Caenorhabditis elegans: one gene and its partners. The protein of the gene in region 1 interacts with the protein of each later gene in a biochemical or structural test. Each region holds a gene or a part of one and is shown on either strand. Other genes may lie near its edges.

Region 1 (7,753 bases):
AAAGGAAGTCAATATTTCGGCCAACGTCACTTTGCGTCGTAGTCGTCGGGGTCAGTCAACAGAGCCACCAGTCGTGAAAGAGAATTCTAATCGAAAACGGAAATCTGTTGACGAGGAAGAGGAAAATGTGCCAACAAGTTCATCTGGTAACACTGAAAATGATCCACTGTCACGCGGAGTGACTCCGTTGATTTTCGATGAAAGTAAGCTTGGTGCAGGACGTCATTGTTCAACTCCGATTCGATCACGAGAAGACGCAGATCCAAGCGATGTCACATTCTCCCTTAATTTGTCGGCTATTACCGAAAAGGAAGACTTGAAAAACAGAAGTAAGGTATTCACAATTTCTTGAATTTACAAAACGCCTTAATTTTACAGAAAGTCAAGCTTATCACCTTCACAATATCTTCGAAGAGGATGAAGAGGAAAGCTGATCAATGTCATTGTATAAATCTTCCATCGAAATTTGTCTTATTTATCTCAACTGTTTGTATTATTGTAAGATTGTCCGCTGTTTTTTCATTAAATTAATCTGTTCCTTTTATTATCTGTAATGGGATTGCAGTCAACTACCAGAAAAGAAGCATTTAATTCACAAGTACATTGATAGATGCATTAGGTGTATCTTTAGGCTGGGAAAACAATACAATCGTTACAAGTTAATCTTGTCGAGATGATAGTGTTGATAAAACTGGTTCCATTTTAATACATTAACAGATCAGTTCACTTTTTGCGAATTTCCTTCACAGCTCCTCCCATATCAGTTGCGATTTTGCCAATTTCCGTTTTGATTCTGTCTTGAAATTCGACACCAAGTGTCTGAAAATGATATTTTTCAAAATAGATTTCAATAGAAAAAGAATTTCATACCGGGATGGCGGATTTTGTCAGTTTCAGTTCCTTTTTGTACTTCTTGATTTGCTCCTCAAGCATCAAGTTATCCTGATGCAATTGTCCGAGATCTGTGATCAGTTGATCGACGGTCTCGTTCTTCCAATTGGACATATCGATTCCTTTGAATAGAATGAGCTTCTGATGGAGGAAATCGCGAAGAACTCTGGATTCATTGATGACGTTGCCAATCGTCTCCTTAAGCTCTGGACCCATTCCTGACATATTGTGAGTCTTCTTGAGTTTCTGAACAATTGCGTCGACAGCCATAGTTGATTCGTGGAGCAATTGTCGAGTAGGGCTCGTGTAATCTGGAGAATTGGTGAAAATTCAACTTCTGATGTGCATAAGTATGACTTACGAGGTTGAGCACACTTTTGATTCGATGTTTTAGTAGGCATGCCACTGACCGATGTTCCAACTGGTGGGACATTCTCGTTATTAGAGCTCATCATTTTCAGCTCATGTTCGAGAGCATCTTTCTCTAATTGAAGCTTTTCAATTTTTTCATTGACGTCTCTCATAACTTTCGCGTATTCATGCTGTTGCTCTCGTTCCCTGGAAAGACGACGACAGAGTTCATCGCAAACGAGTTGAATCGATGAGATGTTGCTGAAAATGTTCTCAAATAAAAAAAAACAAGCACGACGTTTGATAATACCTTGGGATAATCTTGGCTTTCAAAGTCTTCTTGGTTAGCTCAGATATCTCCTTACTGATACGTTCCAATCCTACAATAGCGGCATTCTCAAAATCTTCGCGATACTTCGCCAACTCAATTTCCTTCTTTCTTTCTGTCATCTTCGTAGAACAATAGTCGGCCGCAATTTCTGAAGTCGACAACTTCTCCATCTCAGTCTCCAAATGAACAATTCTTTCAAGCATTTCAGATTTCTCGGATGAAGCATGTTCAACTTTATTTTCCGCCTCTTTTGTTCTCATTCTCCACCCATTCAATTCTTCACTCAACTCATCTGCTAGATTTTGGGATTTTTTTTCTTCCTCCAGCGCGGTAGATAACTCGCTTTTCAAGAATTCATCGCTCTTCTTTGCTTCATTCAATCGCATCCCCATATCAGTAATGGTTTTCTTGAGCTCATTTTCCTCATGTTTTAGAGAACTGATGAGCTGACGAGCCTCTTCCAATGCATTTTCAGCTTTGACACGAGTCTCCTGTTCACCATCCACACGAGCCAACGCTTCATTGAGCTCGCATCGCACTTCTCCAAGCTTAGAATTAACTTGATGGAGATTGGCTTCGAGTTCAGCAAATTGACTTTTCAATGTAGAATTTTCCTCTTTAGCCTTTTGTAGCGTTGCTTCAGATACTTCGAGATCTTCAAACATGCGATTGGTGTTGATCTGCACATCCGACAATCTTCCAGACGAACCGTTCAATGGAGATCTCATATCTCGTGTACGAGCCATCTCCAATTCATTTTTCAACTCCGATACCTCATTCTGAAGCTTTTCCACTATGTCTGAATTGCTTGTAAACTTGAAGAGTGGACTATACGAGGCATTGAGAAGAGAAGATGAGGCGACATCTGGAAAATATTGATTTATGAGCGTCTCTAAAATTTATATTACCTTCAGCATCGGGTGCAATAGTGAATCTTCTCGAAGCTTCCGCAGCCTGACTAACTATCGACTTCTCGAGAATTGAGAAATTGAGTGACATATTATGAAGATCCTTCTCCGCTGCTTCCAAGATGGCAGATACATTGAGCTTGTCGTTAATACTTGTTTCAAATGCGAGCTTCATTTTCTTGATCTTATCCGCATTTGGATCACTGGATCCCATCTACAAAAAACTCAGATTTACAGATTCACAACTTGACAGTTTTCATACCCTTTCAAGAATCTCTTCAAAAAGAGCAGCAGAAGATTTAAGTCTTTCGAAAAGTCGAGCAAGAGCCTCTCTGATCTGGGACATTTTCTCTTGCATTTGCTCAACATTTACAGCTACATCATGCTGGCCTTCAAGGAACATTGCAGAAGAATCCAGAATTTGTTGCATATCGTGCAGAATTGGAATGTGACTTTGTGACACGTGAGGAGAAGCAGTCTTCGTAGAAAACGAATTATTCTGTATTTGTTCGCCAGCTCCCTCGGATTGATGGCTCTTCAGGTGAAGATGAAGTGATTTTGGTTTCTGCATTACAATCGGAGAATTCTTGAAAGACTTCTGACTGAGGAACGATTGAGTTGCATCTCTACCAGGTGGTGGCATTGACGAATTGAAGGAACCTAACAATAATCAATTTCAAAAAATCTAGGAATCAATTTTACTACCTTCAAGGGTGTCATTATGGTTGTTCTGCAGGCTGTCTTTCACTGACTCGAAATCTTCCCACATGGAGGCAAATTGTTGCTGCTAAATATTCAAGACTTTATTTTAAATAATAATTTTCATACACTTACATTTCGAACAGCAGATGATGTATCCATGAGCGGCAATTTGCTTTCTTCAAGATCATCTAATTGACTTTCTCTGGGAAGAATGCGCATCGATGTTCCGCCAGTCTCATTTCCTTGTCCAATGCTATCGACATCATTAGTCGCAATACCAGCCATCAGTCGACTTTGTCCCAGTGAAATGCTAAGATTTCCATCGCCTCCGGTCAATTGATCACAACGAATGCGGAGTTCTCGATTTTCAGCTCTCAACACATTCAATTCACCGTTCACCTTTCCTATTTGGATTTTAAGCTCGTCGGATGTCTGACCACCAAGCAACATGGAAGAAGAATCAAATGTCGAATTTTTAACCATGGTTCGAATCTCGTGCTCAAGCTTGCTACACTTGTTCATGTATTCAACGAGTGCCTGACGAGCCTTATCATTTTCCTTCTTCGCATCAGCTAACTTCGTTTCAAGATCATCAATGTAATTGAGCTGGTCTCGCGTCTGTGATTCACGACCGTTCCCGATCATGAACGTTGAATTTGGAACCATAGCGTTTCCAGCAGCTCCGAGGATTCCTTGTCCAGTGGCCGCTTCAAGCTGAGCGCGAACATTTTCTGAATCGGCAAGCCTTGCAGATTGGTCGTCAAGTTCTTGACGGAGCTGCTGAATGTGATCTTCCAGCTCAGCTACCTTGTCGATCTCAGAGAGGAGCTTTGCCTCCAGGTCGTTGATCTTTCTTTCTTCATAACCAGAGGTTAATGTGAAATCTGGATCGTTTTTCTTCAGAATGTCATCAAGAGTTCCACGAAAAGATCCGACAGTTGTGTTGTTTGCATCAGTAGCGGACAATTCCAGTTCCTTGATTCTTTCCTCCATTGCATGCTTTTGTGCCTCAAATTCTTTCATCTGTCTGGCAAAATTGTCTTCGGAAGTTTCAATTCTCGATTGCATTGCTAGCAAATCCTCTTCCATCAGTTTGTATTGCTCCATTTTCTCTTGAACATTTTCTTGGCCTAATTTGAGATCGACATAATCGTCCATAACTTCCTTAACTCTCTTCTGCGACGCTTCCTTTGCCTCACTATACCGGCGCTGATACATTTGCAGTTCTCCCTACAAACTCAAATCATTTCTAAATAAGCATATGATAAATTACTTACTCTCAGGATAGTTATTTTTGTTTTAAGCGCTTTGTTTTCTTCCCATGTTTGGATGATGGGGATGCTACGAACATCAGCAGACGAAAATGCTCCTGACAATACTTGCTGTTGAGTGGCACTGGTCGAAGACGTTCTTTTGTCTCCTTCAACATTCAGAACTGGTTGCGACATAGATCTTCGTGGCTGGCCTAAAAAACCTTTGCATTTATGCAGTTATTGATTTTAAATGTTATAATTACCCTCGACATGCTCGAGATTGGAGTCCTCGTTGAGCACAGAATTATCCTCCATTTAACGCGAAGTTTTCTGAAACAAGAAACGGGTTCGAAAACAAAATTGAGCGTTTTTTTGGGATTAAGAGTTTTGAGTCAAAATGAACAGGAGGTTGCAAAATTTGAAGCTTCAGCACCGTTCTTTGGGCGTGCATAATCATGAAAAACAAGTGCGGACCAACTTTTGTTACTATGGAAACGTAAGAATTTCGCGGACGCGGAGAAAATTCAAAATTCACGTTTAGGCGCGCGTTTTTCTGAGGCCCCACGAAAAGGGGAGCAGAACGAAAAGGGGATCTGCAAAAAGGGGAGATACGAAAAGGGGAGCAACGAAAAGGGGAGCTGGCACTGTGCCAAACGCACAAAACGCAATTTTTCTCACGCAACGCACGTTGATTTTTGAAATTTTCTTCTAGAAGATACGCTTAACAACACGCGACGCGTAACATCGGAGCCGATGCACCATGTTTCGGATCGGTATAGGTTCAAAAGTGGTAGAATTATATAATTTATTACTGATAAATCCGTTAAATGATAAAAATGAGAAAGCTCATATATTTAACATGCGACCTGCCGGTCCAAGAGTAAAACGAAGAAGTGACGATTTCCTTGCGTGGTGTCGACGTGTTGGGGTTTGATGTGCATGTGTGGTAGTACTGTAACACGCGTGACGTGTGTGTCTTTTGGCGCGGCTTTCAAACAGGAGTTTCCCGGCTTTGTCATTGTTGATGACTCAGTATTCTGCGTATTCGCGACAATCGTTGTATCGTTTTCTTCGAGAAAAATAGCGTTTGGCACAGTGCCAGATCCCCTTTTCGTTGCTCCCCTTTTCGTATCTCCCCTTTTCGTATCTCCCCTTTTCGCAGATCCCCTTTTTGCAGATCCCCTTTTCGTGGGGCCTCGTTTTTCTTGACAGAGAAAAAGTGTGCGCATGTTGCGAAATACCATGCGGCGGTATTGCTCATGCAGCCACGCCCCTTATTTTTGAATTCGAATGGAGCTCCATATGGAGGCGTTTTCGGCTCAATTCATCATTGTTTTGTAAAATTTTACATCGCAAAGTGTCAAAATATGAAGCTTATTGTAAAAACTCACAAATTTCTAACAAGTTTTTCTTTGAATCCAATGAGAACCTTCTCGATAAGTGATTAAAATTTAAAGTGAATTGTTTTCTTCCATTTTTTCACGTATAAAAAAACGTATAAAAAACAAGTAAAACAAGTTCACGCCAATGAAAAATTGTTTTTAACGATATTTAAATATTTTTGAACGTGTTTATTTCATCTCCATATTTCTCTTTTGCTTTAACATCGTGTTTTATGCTTAATTTCAGATGGAGCTGGTTTACGGGTCGGAAATCAGCTTCACGGATGGATTTGCTATAAAGCCGGCTAGAACTTTTGTGGTAAACACCAGTAAGTTTCAATTTCATTAAATAATTGTTTCTACAACAAATTTCACTTTTTTAGATGCGCCGCTTCATTCGAATGGATTTGATGTGCAACCGTCCGCAGGAGTTGCAACATTTCCGCACTGCTCAAATTACGGCGATCGGATTTTCCTGTGGCGTGCGATTGGCCAGAAACTGTTCATTGAGGAGCGTTCTTTGCTCTACTCAATCACGGATGGATCGTTGTGCATTGACTTCACACGCACACCTATTATTCCTGGAACATCGATAACAATTTTCGAGGAAGGGGTTTTATGTATTGTCGTTCCCACAGCTTCTGCAATTCATCGTTTCTACGCGAGACTCCACTCCAAAGGCCATGATGTTTGTTCTCAAAAATTTCCATAATCGAATGAGAATAATTATTTTCAGACGTTCTCAATTCTTGCAAGAATTAAAGAAGATGACGATTTCCGCCGATTCAGAACATCTCACTCCCTTTCAACACCAGGGCGCCCGATTCGTGCAAGTGTTACACATCATCCTTCAAGAAATACGGTATAAAAATGGAAATTGATTACAACCTATATTTCGAATTTTGAATTCAGATTTCTTACTGTACCGCTGAAGGGCAGTTGGTCATTGTCACATTGGGATCATACACGGAATCCAGTGATAAACACGAAGAATTCACAATGGGAGAAGTTGGTCTTCTGGGAAAACTTCTAGGTGGCACTGATAAACGAGTCAGTGATGCATGTGTTATGAAGAATCTTCGCCCGACTTCTGGAGTCACGAGAGAGCGAAAAATTTCAGTCCAATCCGATATTGTGTTCGCTGTTACCAGAGACGGATGGGTGCAAGCATGGAATGTTGAGACGAAAAAACAATTGCCAAGCACTATTGACTTGAATAACTACTTTGCTTCAGACGGAAAATCTTTGAATCGAGATCTAGAATCTGCAGACTTCGAGGAAGAAAAGTCTCCAATGGAACCAACTGAAACTGTATATTCTATCAGAGCTTATTCATTCGATGTGGATATTCTTCTGATTGTTGGATGTGATTTGGCAGTTTCGGGAAAAAGCGTCGGGATGAGAGTTCATATTCTCAAAGTTTCAAATGATCAAATTCAACATCTACAAATGTTCGAAACATCGATGTCCGTTGATGAACGACTTGTTGATCTCGAGCTTATTCAAAACTATTTCCCATCAAAGGAATCGGAAAGTCTTGATGAGACACAAGATGGGTAAGAATCGTTGTTATAAAATGGGTTTTTTTCTTGTCTAAATATAAAATTGTTTCAGGGAATTGTATAATCCTCTCACAGCTGCACTATTTTCACTTTCTGCTCTTTTCAAAAGTTCATCTGCAAAGAAAACCTATTCGATGAAACGGATCTCATTTGCTATCCAATGGAAAAAGGGACGAGTTTTCACAGATTTCGATTGGCATTCCGTTCGTCAGTTCACTTCGCCTGCCACTACCAAAGAAGAACCGATCGGCAATACGGATGAAGTGGAACCTGCAATTGAGCGCCCATATAACCTCTCGGCAGATTCAAGCATAGAAACACTGATTGATGTGGTTTTTGATACAGATATCTATCCATTTGATATTGTTTTCCG
Region 2 (4,903 bases), on another chromosome or scaffold:
GCACACTGATCGGCAATCGGCAATTGGCGATCGCCGATTTTTTTTTGGCAATTTGTGATCGGCGATCGCCGAAAAAAAAATTTCATCGGCGATCGCCGATTTTTTTGGCCGGCTGCTCAGCTCTGCTCTAGATCTCTAGAAATCCAAAATTCAAGCAGAGAGCAAAAACAATTTAAACTATTGTATTTTTGATTTCATATAACAGTTTATGTCCAACTGTTACAGTAAAGCAGATCCCATTGGCATAATTTGAGACTATTTGGAATCGAACCTGTTTGGATATAAAATAAGTGACGGAAACTGTTCAGAGTGGCAAGTAATTAAACAGAACATTTGTTACTTTGCGACCGTGATCTTTGTAACAATCATGTTCAAATAATTGTCTCGGAATCAGTAAATATTATACACGCTTTTTCGAAAATTCTGAAATGGAAAGTTGAGGCAGATGAGCAGCTCAACTTGATTTTTCCCAATGTGCTGCTATCTACCAAAAATGAAATTGTCGAGAAAGTTTGGAAAAATGAAGAATACAGTTTAATAATCATCGGTACGTTTTATTTCGTGGGACTAATACCAAAAAAAGATGATTCAATTAGCAAAAAGAAATAAAAACGCAAAATAAAAATCGCCTCGCCCATGAATACAAACGAATGAAAAAGGGCTACAGCGGGTCTCATCAGTATTTACAATGAAATGAGCTACGGGAGATCGAGGACGGGGAATAAAGACATGTTGGATGCTGAAACATGGGACTAAAAGGGTCGATGAAAAACAGCAACAATAAATGAAGAGTACGGGTTAAATGTATAGAATAATACTTCTTGGAATTAATCAGGAGATGTAAGCAAATTCATGGAAGTGGCAAAGAGCACATACGGATCTATCGACGTGGGTGAATATTGGATCCACTTGCCGACTGGGGAAGGTGCGATGCAGCTTGATTTGGTCCTCGTGATCCTGCCGAAGCTGAACGAGCAGCTGCCATTGACCGTGGCATATCCGGTTGACGAGCTGGATTCTGGGATACAACGTTAGCATCGCTCATCAACCTTTCGATCATTGTCTTCGCATACTTCAGTCGGTGAAGGAATTTCTGTAAATTATACGTTATATTTGTTGATACTGAAATGGCGATTCAAACCTCTGGACATCCATTGCGCTGAAGATTGTTCAGCTTGTAGGTGAGCATACGCTTGTTTTGATCGATGAATGTAACTGCTTGCATTAATGGGCACATCATCATCTTGACATGATCCTGAAAATTATATTGTTGGGTGTTTCCATTAAATTATGAATTTGCTTACATTGAAGAAATTTATCTGAACAGTTCCATTGGAAAGGTGCAAAACAATTGCTGATTTGGTTCTGAACCAAACTCGAAGCGTTGGTAAACGAGCCAAGTCATCACCAGCTCTTTGTTCAGATCCTTCTCCAGCTTTCACCAAATGGTCATTCATGTAGGATCGAAAATACTTAAGCAATGTGACTTTCTTGTTGAGCAATCCAGGCATTTCACCTGAGTGCATCGAGAAGTAGTGCTCTTTGTTGCTCTTCTCAATATAGGTCAACTCGTTTCCAGCTTGATCAAGCATGATACGAGAATTGTCATTGAAGAGAACTCCGACGGAATTGTCACATAGTTGATATCCGATGCCATACTTGTCCGAATAGTCAACCCATTTCGAAATCCAGAAAACCGGGAGGCACTCTGGTGATTGATAACCATCAAGAGCAGCTTCTTCTTCTTCCAGCTGTAACAAACTTTTAATTTAAAAAAAACCTCTTGTTTATTCTTACCCCTGGAATACGCTGCTCTAAGAGCACAGCAACTTGGTGGAAAAGTTGTGAAAGGTATGCATCCTCGGGCTCCCGGAAAGTCGCCTCTGCAGCTTGTTGTTGAGCACGCTCACGATCGGCATTGTTCGACACGATGTGTTGTGGGAGGGCAGACAATCCAGCTCTTCCGTTCAATGGGCGTTGTGAACGAGCATCAACCCCTCTTGGAGCAACATTTTCCTCCATCATCGAAGTTTCGTGTCCTCCGAACTTTGGCACCATAGTGAGGCAGGAGACTGGAAGTCTAGTCGGCATGAATCCTGACTTGAAGAAGCCATCGCGTTGAACCTGTAGGGTTTTCATTCCGAGTTGAAGAGATTTCATAACTTATTTAAATATTCGAACTGATTTTTTAAAAATTGTTTTCGATCTCTTTACTAATTAGAACGAAGGGCAATCAAACTGAACGTGAACTATCTCTCAATAAAAGTTCACGATAAAATTCAAAAGTACAAATTTTCTAATGATGAAACTCGAATCTCCGATAATACTAAAATGATTTTCACTCCAGTTCAAAACTATTGAAATTACCTGCTTGGCAGTCGGACGACGTGTTGGCTCAGGATCAAGCATCTTGCGGATTAGGCTTGCTGCTGGTTGTGTTGCGATCGACGGAATGGTGTAGTTGTTGTGGCGAATGCGTGAGTATGTCTCTTCAAGCGATTTAGACTCGAATGGTGGTTGTCCGAAAAGAAGAATGTACAGAATGCATCCAACTGCCCAAATGTCAACTTCAAATGAGTGTCCAGCTTTGTTCAAAACCTCCGGAGCTATGTAGTTTGGCGTTCCACACAACGTTTTCTTTCTCTCATCACCGTTGACCGTTGTTGCTAATCCGAAATCTCCAATTTTGACAACTAGATCATCATTGAGGAAAAGATTTCCAAGCTTCATATCACGATGAATGATGTTCAGATCATGCAAATACAGCACGCCATCCACAATTTGATGAGTGAAATAACGAGCTTCAGGTTCGGTGACCGCCTTTCTTCTTTTGTGCAACTCCATCAGCGACCGTCTTGCACATAACTCCAAAGTGATATACACGTTGAGATTGTCCTCGAAGAAGTTGAATAACTTCACGATATTGATGTGTCCAAGCTCTCGATGAATCTGCACCTCTTGTGTCATCTGAAAAATCGTAATATGCACTGAACTAAGATTCGTTCATTGTCTACCTTATCTCTCTGGTATTGCTTGACGAGCATCGACTTCGGAACCACTTTTCCAGCGACAACCTCGCGTGTTGCTCGATTCGTAAGCTCATAACAGTGAGCGAATCCTCCCTTGCCCAAAAATCGTCCTTTCTCATAATAGGTCCCACGATCCTTGTCGGCGATGAGAGCGGGAACCTCTGGTGGAGCCTTCTCCTTTCTTTGGTTGGACTTTTGTGGGGGTTTTGCAATGTTGGGAAGTCGATTCATCTGAAATGCAACACAAAAATTAAAATATTCAGTATTAATAATTGAATAAACGTTTTTATTTCTAAAAATGACAAGAGGCGAGCTGGAAACTTGAAAAAGAATCGGTAAAAGTCATTTTAGGACGAAAATGGCGGACGGCAAATTCGAATGTTGATGCTTGGCGGGCGCAGGTCTCGCAGCGAACCGTGTGTCGATTTACGCGCCGATGAAAAAGGGTGCTAAACAAAACAGCGCGCTGTCATCGATCAAACATTTTCTGGTCAAACATAAATATCACGGAGACATTGATTTAAAAAACGGTTTTAAAAATTGAAAAATTTATTATTCAATGTACTTTCTGCAATAATTTTGTACATTAATGTTTTAAAAATTAGCAACGAACCTTTTTGGGCTTGTAACAGAACATTTGCACGTGTGTTAAACGATGCCAGATGTTAATAAAAGAAAAATTAATTTTAAATGGATTAATACGTATATTTTATGGCGTACGTAATACATTTTTACCACGTGTCTTCCACGTCTTACCGTCATTTGGAGAGAAGGCAGCTTCTCTTTTTGGATTAGTGGTAAGTTTTCGTGGTTTACACGCCTTTCTTTGACGATTAAAATGGATGGAAAGAGATACTATAACAATTTTATTTAATACATGAGATAGGATATTTAGCTTCAAAAACACTATATTTCCAAGACGGCATCTCAAAACATAAAATTATGAAAACGCAACAATGTTATACGGTTTGAAATTGTCAGTTGAATCTTTCAAAACCAGCAAGGACGTTTTCTTGTTATTCTCATCTGGAACACTGTATACATCAACTGGCTCGAAGCACTCAGTTTTGACATCAAAGCGCTCTCTGAAATTAATTCTAGTTTGCCTAACATCAGTTTTCTGCTCACTTTCTATCATAATTCGTACACTTCAAATCTCCTGTGACTTTTTCAACATTCACGTGTTTAGTGAAAAACCATTCTAGGACAACAAATTGATCATTTAAGCTGAGACGTTTCTGAAAAATAACAATTCTTCATTCCATGATGATTTTCAATACCTTTATCGCATGAGCAACTATATTTTCATCAATTCTGTCCGAATAAAAAGAAAAATTTGGAATTGCAATACACAATGCTAGAAATTGGTCGGTTGAGAAAGAACAGTGCTCCATAATACTCAGTGTTTTGCAATTTTGGAACTGAAAATGTATTGTACCAAAAATATTCAAAAATAAACATACTTACATGTGGAAGATCAAATATCTTGGACGGAATATCAAGTGGATATTCTCCATGAGGAGCAATACACAGCTCATTTAGAGAGTTCGGATCAACTCTTTCAATCCACCACTCCAACATTTCCAGAGATTCCATTTTTAGAAAAAGCCTTCTAACGATGATTTTTGGAATGTTCAAAAGCTCATTCGAACTACAAATACATTTGCTTGCTTTCTGAAATATCAAAATACGCGGAATTCAGATTAATTTTTTAACTACCAAGTCTATAAAAAGCTCGTCAAGCCTATAATTACAAGCTTCCAATCTTTCCAAAAGAACTCCTGAAATTTCAATCTCCGGAACTTGGAGATCTTTCATTTTTCCTAGTCGACTTGTATATACAATTGTAATCTAAAAATTTATGATTTAATTAA
Region 3 (5,570 bases), 3.8 Mb from region 1:
AAGTCACAGGTTCAAGGGCTCCACCGGCGAACTTTAGAATTTCAACTTTTCCTCCAGACTCTGCTACGAATACGTGGTTCGACAAAGGGTGAAATGTTAGCTCGTGGGAGAAAGTTTTCATTTCATAGGACTGAAAATAATTAAATTTAAAATGTTTTGATCGTCTTTACAACTTTACAAGCAATCCTAGCAAAATCCTAAAAATCTCAAGTTGCTAAATAGCTCTTGAAACTCACATTTACAACTTGATAATTCCGAATGTCTACTGTATTTATCCGATTATCTTTGTCGAGAAATATGAAATATTCGTCACACGGAGACCAGGAGATGAAGAAATTTCCAACTGAAAGCCGATCATTTTTAGGAGTTTAAATTGTTAATTTGAAACCTCGATTTGAAATTCGATGAGTCGGTTTGCTTTGTCGAATGTCCCATACACAAATGTTTCTATCTGCACTGGCTGATGCAAATAAGTTTGGCTGCTTTTCACTACATGCTACCTGAAATAGAAATCGTTAACACCAGATGAGGAAATTTCCGATATACCTGTTCCACAGACGATGAATGACTAGAGCCCACCCAAGAAAATCTGAGACGACCTCCATCCACATTTGCAACGCTCACTTTTTTGTCGAATGCACCACATACAAGTTTTGTTCCATCACAATTAAATGCTATTGATTGGCATTGCTGGACCTGGAATAGAAAAGTAGTTTTCATTTCTAAAATTGATGAGTGGGAAAGCTTGAAATATATTATTTCTTTAGGTATACCTTCATATCGGTTGATCTGATTCTTTTGTACTTTTCAAAATATGTCGAAGCATCAGCTGCCGTTAACAGACGTGCACATCGTCGTTCTCGGGAAGACACTGTCATCTGAATTAGATTTTAATACTTTCCGAATATCATGAAATTTTATAAATAAGGTATAAAGATGGGACAAGTTAAGCCCATTTTTACCGAGAAGCAAAGAAAAATCAAATAAATGAAATACCCGATTTATTGATAAATGAAAACCCGTCGCAACTCATAAATCTAAACAATAAATCAATCATTGAGAAGCTTTGGTATAAGATTTTGATAGAAAACTTTCAACGTCAGTACATGGAGCTGGAAGTCTGTTGTATGCTATTGATCCGAACTTTATCAGGTTATTTGCTTCTTCTGCAAGATTAATATGAAAATGAGTTTATTACTATCGATTCACCTGGACAGGCGTCAACAAACTTAGGCAGAAGCGATAAAGCATGTTGAGCCACTTGAGGATTTGAATTTACAAGTGCCAAGTGATAGGAATCGAGCATCATTTGCCGTGGCTAAACTTTCAAAATTGAAATTATTGTCATTTTGATAATTCTTACACTTTGAGGATGGGCCAAGATTTTCAGACAAGCCGCAAATGCAAATTTACGAATAGGTGTCGTTCTGTGAGTTAGCAGCTGGGACACGAACTTTGGTGCTTTCGAACATCGTTCCGGATTACTTCTCTCGATTTTCTGAATTATTTCAAGCAGTTCACGATCATTTGGAGTATGCGATTGTTCGTATTCGAAGATTTGTTTGGACAGAGGGTCACTGAACAGTTATCGAATTTTTAGAGAAAACCTAATAAAAACCAACCTTATGACTTGCTGATCATTGGGAAGAAATCGAGATTGACTAGCAGCACGTCCCATCATTCGTTCATCAATATCACCCATTGTTTTTGTGTTTTATTTTTCGCTGAAATTCACAATATATTTAGATTTTATGTTTTAAAAACGACTATAAAAAAATAGTTATTTCAATTTGAATTGCAAAAAATATGATACAAAAGTACGCATTTTCGCGTGGCCGTGTTTGCGGACACAGAAAACAAACATTGGCGCGCCCGTCAAATGATTAGTGTTTACGCTTTTAAAATCATTCATTTTAAAACTTTTTCTATTCTCAGCGTATTAAAAATGGAAGATGATGCTCCAATGAATCTCTGTAATGAACAGTTCGAAGAAATTGAAGATAGTCCCATTGATGACAATGATAATGAATCATTCTGTAAGTTATTATACATGTTATGCAATTAAAATAGCTTTTTCAGACAATGCTGATGGTGATGTAGAACTCGAAGAAGAGGAAGTACACGAGACACCGAAAAACTTCAAAAATGGTGGTCGCTTCAAAACAAACATGACTAATCCAAAGGTTAATGACCTGACAACGATTGAGGAGAAAAATGAAGATTTGCGATCTGCCGCTAGCTCGCGCAGTGCGAGTCGTCCAGCCAGCGTGATGAGCGATAAGTCGTTTTCTAGTCAATTTGAGTTTCAAAGTGGTGGAGGTTAGTTTTAATCTACTTAAACCATTAATTTTGTTTCTAATTTTCAGAGAATGCCATTGAAGAATACACTAATCAGGTTTTTGCTGATGAAAACAAAGCTGACCTGCTTTTTCCTGAAACTTCAAAATTTATGAACGGAGCATCGCCGCCTAAAGACAAGCATCACTCCTGGGAGCCGTCCATACACCATTATGATAAGCAACCACCTCCCGACATTCAAACAAATTCGCCCGTCTTCGGAAACTTGAATCATCGAAAAAATAAATTGATTCCCCAAGCTAGAGCAAAGCCAGGAGCCAATGACAACGAAATCGTGGAGAGGGATAATGACGAAAATGTGCCGACAACATCTGATAAATCGGCATTTATCACATCACCGATGAATTCCACAAATCACGACGAGAAAACGAGCACTCCTAAAAGACGTGAGACTTTCAATTTAAACTTTGTTACGACAATATTTTCAGCAACTAATCGGAAAATCGGTCAATACCAAGGGCCTAATTTCGATTTATCAAGCATCTACGTTGGTAGTCCACAACACCAGAATACATCAATCTCTACGGGACAACAGATGCCGACTTCGTCTTATTCGCATGCACATTCTGAAACAATGATGACAAATCAAACTATTAATGAGTCAATGGTTCGAAGAGTGCTCAATGGAAACAATAAGAATCAAGATCTGTTCGCAGCATTAGAAGAAGCTCGTAAAAGAAGAGCTGCTCAACCGTCGAAGCCAGATTTCAGAATGTAAGCATTCCGAAAAACAATTTGTAACGTTATACAAAAGTATAGTTTTTTTCCTGAAATTCGTAAAATCGCGGTTTAAGTAATATTATGTTTATTTAAGTTGAAAAAGTTAGTGCGTTTTTAAATTCAGTTTTATAATTTTTTCTTTCAGAAACACTACGCGAACTCGTGTTCCTATAAAGCCAACATCTGCACGACATTCTGGAAATGTCGTATCCTCGACGTCCAACGACAACACAACTGCAGCATCATCCAAAGATTTGACGACGAGCCGAAAAGCGATGGAGACTTTTAGGCAGAATGCATCAATGGCAGATGCCACTAATTCTAATACAGCAAGCATGACGAGTATCTTGAGCACAATCTCCACTGCAAGGACGGATATTAGTCGTTCATCTCGTAATCATGGTGGTGGTTTTTCGAACACATCCGTCTCTACCGTCATTCCGGCCAATAATGGCAATGTTTCACTGTCCCATGGACGCGATGGACGGGATTCGGTCAGTTCGGTGCGCACAATGTCCCGTGCTTCTTCGACCTCGACGGTATATGCAGGATCCACATTTTCTGGAGTATCAAAGCCATTGCGAATTCATGCTAAACGCGTGGCATTCGGTTGTGTTGCAGTCGGCGAGACATTGAGAGTTGAAGTCGAAGTGGAAAACATTTCCGATCGTCAGTGTCTTGTTCGAGCCAGTACGGATAGTACCACACCAGTTTATCAAATCCTTGACAACAAGCTAACTATGGTTGATCCAAAAAAGAGTATCAAGTTTCAAGTATCCTTTTCTCCTAGTTCTGTCGGACGTTATCAAGTTATTATGAGTATCGAAGTACCGGCACAAAATTTTATACATAAGGTATGTTTTTCAAAAATTTGATGGAATTGGATGTCATCGTGTCAAGCACATGTGTGTGTTTGCCTATGTTTGACTATGAAACATATTCGATACATTTTTCAAAAGCCATAATAAAGTTATGTTTTCTTCAGATTCCGATGTGGGGTAATGGTGGAATTGCGAAGTTCGTGCCCACTTCGCCAGATTTGCAACAAACTATAAATCAGTCAGAGTATGCAATGTGCACCTCATGCGCAAAACGAATCTCTTTTAAGATCAGCAACTCTGCAGGAACAAGGTAGGCTAAATAGACGACGCTTACATAACAATTTCTTTCAGAGACGGCTTTGCGATGATTAAAGTGTTCGACTCAGCGATGCGACAGCTTCCAGACGGATGTGTAGCTTTCTTTCCTGCACCCGGTTTCATTGTAAAGAAAAAATCGGATAAGCGTGTTGACATTCGCATCGACTCATCTTATATTGATCTTCACGATGAAAACAATTTTCGTACATCGTCTTCGCTTTCGACAGCCTCAACAACATCCTCATTCCAGCGACGTATTCTTCCTGGAGCCAAATTCTTTGTGCATGTCGTTTGGGGTGAAGAAACCATGCGAACCAGACTTCGATTGTTAATTTGAATACAGATGAAATGGTATTACATTTGAAATTATTTAGGCTAGAAGTTCGCACAGGACAGCATCAACTAATCGATGGTCATGACTTCACATCTTTCCAATTTTCCGATGAAGAAGTTCTTCGTGCTGTTCCAGTTGGATTCCCCGCTATCAAGCCCGAGGACCGTGATCTGTTCGCTGCTTCTTATCGTAGTTTCTTCATCAATTTTTTCACTTCTACAACTGAATTCCGTGCTGCTACAAGCCGGAAGAAGAAAGAGATATGCAGCAACGACGACTCTACTCTACTCGAGACAACAGCTTTCCGTAATCAGACATTTGTCAACGACGTTACAATTGTTCCCAATACAAGATTTTCGAATAGAAAGTAAAATCTTAACCTAACTTTCCAAATATTCTCTGATTTCTGTCCAGGCTTCGAAAAAATTCACGGTTCTGTAAAATGTAGGTTTCAATTTCAATAAAGTGGTGATGAAGTTTTATTTGATTTACATTTTTTATGTTTATTTTTCTTTCTTTGAAACGGTAGAAGTTGTGGAATTCTTTTCGGCTGTGTCAGCATCCGGTTTCTTCATCGTTTCCTCATCATCTTCATCCTCTGTGTCCTTTTGTCGAATATCAGCTTCATCTTCAGATTCTTCAAGCTCTTGTCCCTCATCAGGCATCATACACAAACGATGCCGTTTCCGAAGATAAAACTGCCATTGGAGAACCACTTGATCTTCTACGAATTTCGCGCTTGGTCCTGAAAATAAGTTACTATTCTTCTGATAGATTAAATAAAATTTGAACTACCGTAAGCCATCGAATCGCGAAATTGCTGACTCTGCAGTGCTTCAAGCATGTGCAGACATTGAGGAAATTTCAAGCATCTGGCATATTGAGGATCTTTCCAATAGAGAAGATATTTGAGATAGTTGACAAAATATTCTTCTTTGAAATAACCACGTTGCGCGAGAACTGGAAAATATGAAATTTGCAGGAAAAAGAGTGCATAAAAAAACAAGAAACTTAGAATA

The links.
Region 2: of the proteins of spd-5 (region 1) and plk-1, one has a biochemical effect on the other in vitro, tested with the Caenorhabditis elegans proteins (4 studies listed by BioGRID, with this or other methods).
Region 3: the proteins of spd-5 (region 1) and spd-2 form a complex in vitro, tested with the Caenorhabditis elegans proteins (2 studies listed by BioGRID, with this or other methods).

Annotation. Positions count from the first base shown.
Region 1 is NC_003279.8:5,170,771-5,178,523, forward strand, and holds spd-5 (Spindle-defective protein 5), read right to left. Parts: upstream 5,885-7,753; 5' UTR 5,828-5,884; intron 4,767-5,827; 5' UTR 4,752-4,766; coding exon 4,700-4,751; intron 4,649-4,699; coding exon 4,461-4,648; intron 4,414-4,460; coding exon 3,316-4,413; intron 3,269-3,315; coding exon 3,187-3,268; intron 3,142-3,186; coding exon 2,744-3,141; intron 2,696-2,743; coding exon 2,482-2,695; intron 2,439-2,481; coding exon 1,553-2,438; intron 1,504-1,552; coding exon 1,253-1,503; intron 1,203-1,252; coding exon 871-1,202; intron 820-870; coding exon 724-819; 3' UTR 532-723; downstream 1-531. Other genes in the region: Condensin-2 complex subunit hcp-6, read left to right, coding at 1-334, 379-531; npp-6 (NUP160 middle TPR domain-containing protein), read left to right, coding at 6,066-6,147, 6,202-6,506, 6,555-6,680, 6,731-7,374, 7,433-7,753. UniProt on the Caenorhabditis elegans protein: Plays a central role in centrosome maturation and mitotic spindle assembly during the first division of the zygote. Required for the centrosomal localization of air-1 and zyg-9. Probably not required in late embryogenesis and during larval development.
Region 2 is NC_003281.10:8,099,705-8,104,607, reverse strand, and holds plk-1 (Serine/threonine-protein kinase plk-1), read right to left. Parts: upstream 3,261-4,903; coding exon 3,015-3,260; intron 2,968-3,014; coding exon 2,368-2,967; intron 2,125-2,367; coding exon 1,798-2,124; intron 1,752-1,797; coding exon 1,305-1,751; intron 1,256-1,304; coding exon 1,142-1,255; intron 1,094-1,141; coding exon 881-1,093; 3' UTR 539-880; downstream 1-538. Other genes in the region: K06H7.1 (uncharacterized protein), read right to left, coding at 3,970-4,114, 4,158-4,267, 4,310-4,450, 4,497-4,703, 4,749-4,880. UniProt on the Caenorhabditis elegans protein: Required for oocyte nuclear envelope breakdown before entry of oocyte into spermatheca. In meiotic cells, required for spindle dynamics and probably for spindle attachment to the chromosomes. Zygotic role in the development of the germline and nerve cord.
Region 3 is NC_003279.8:8,966,447-8,972,016, reverse strand, and holds spd-2 (Spindle-defective protein 2), read left to right. Parts: upstream 1-1,935; 5' UTR 1,936-1,945; coding exon 1,946-2,036; intron 2,037-2,079; coding exon 2,080-2,319; intron 2,320-2,366; coding exon 2,367-2,744; intron 2,745-2,786; coding exon 2,787-3,072; intron 3,073-3,223; coding exon 3,224-3,932; intron 3,933-4,063; coding exon 4,064-4,209; intron 4,210-4,250; coding exon 4,251-4,544; intron 4,545-4,591; coding exon 4,592-4,922; 3' UTR 4,923-5,032; downstream 5,033-5,570. Other genes in the region: thoc-3 (WD_REPEATS_REGION domain-containing protein), read right to left, coding at 1-130, 237-343, 389-500, 547-696, 774-878; F32H2.10 (Integrator complex subunit 1 R4 domain-containing protein), read right to left, coding at 1,054-1,166, 1,210-1,318, 1,364-1,577, 1,623-1,702; mdt-31 (Mediator of RNA polymerase II transcription subunit 31), read right to left, coding at 5,055-5,296, 5,347-5,511. UniProt on the Caenorhabditis elegans protein: Required both for centrosome duplication and maturation. Required for pericentriolar material (PCM) recruitment.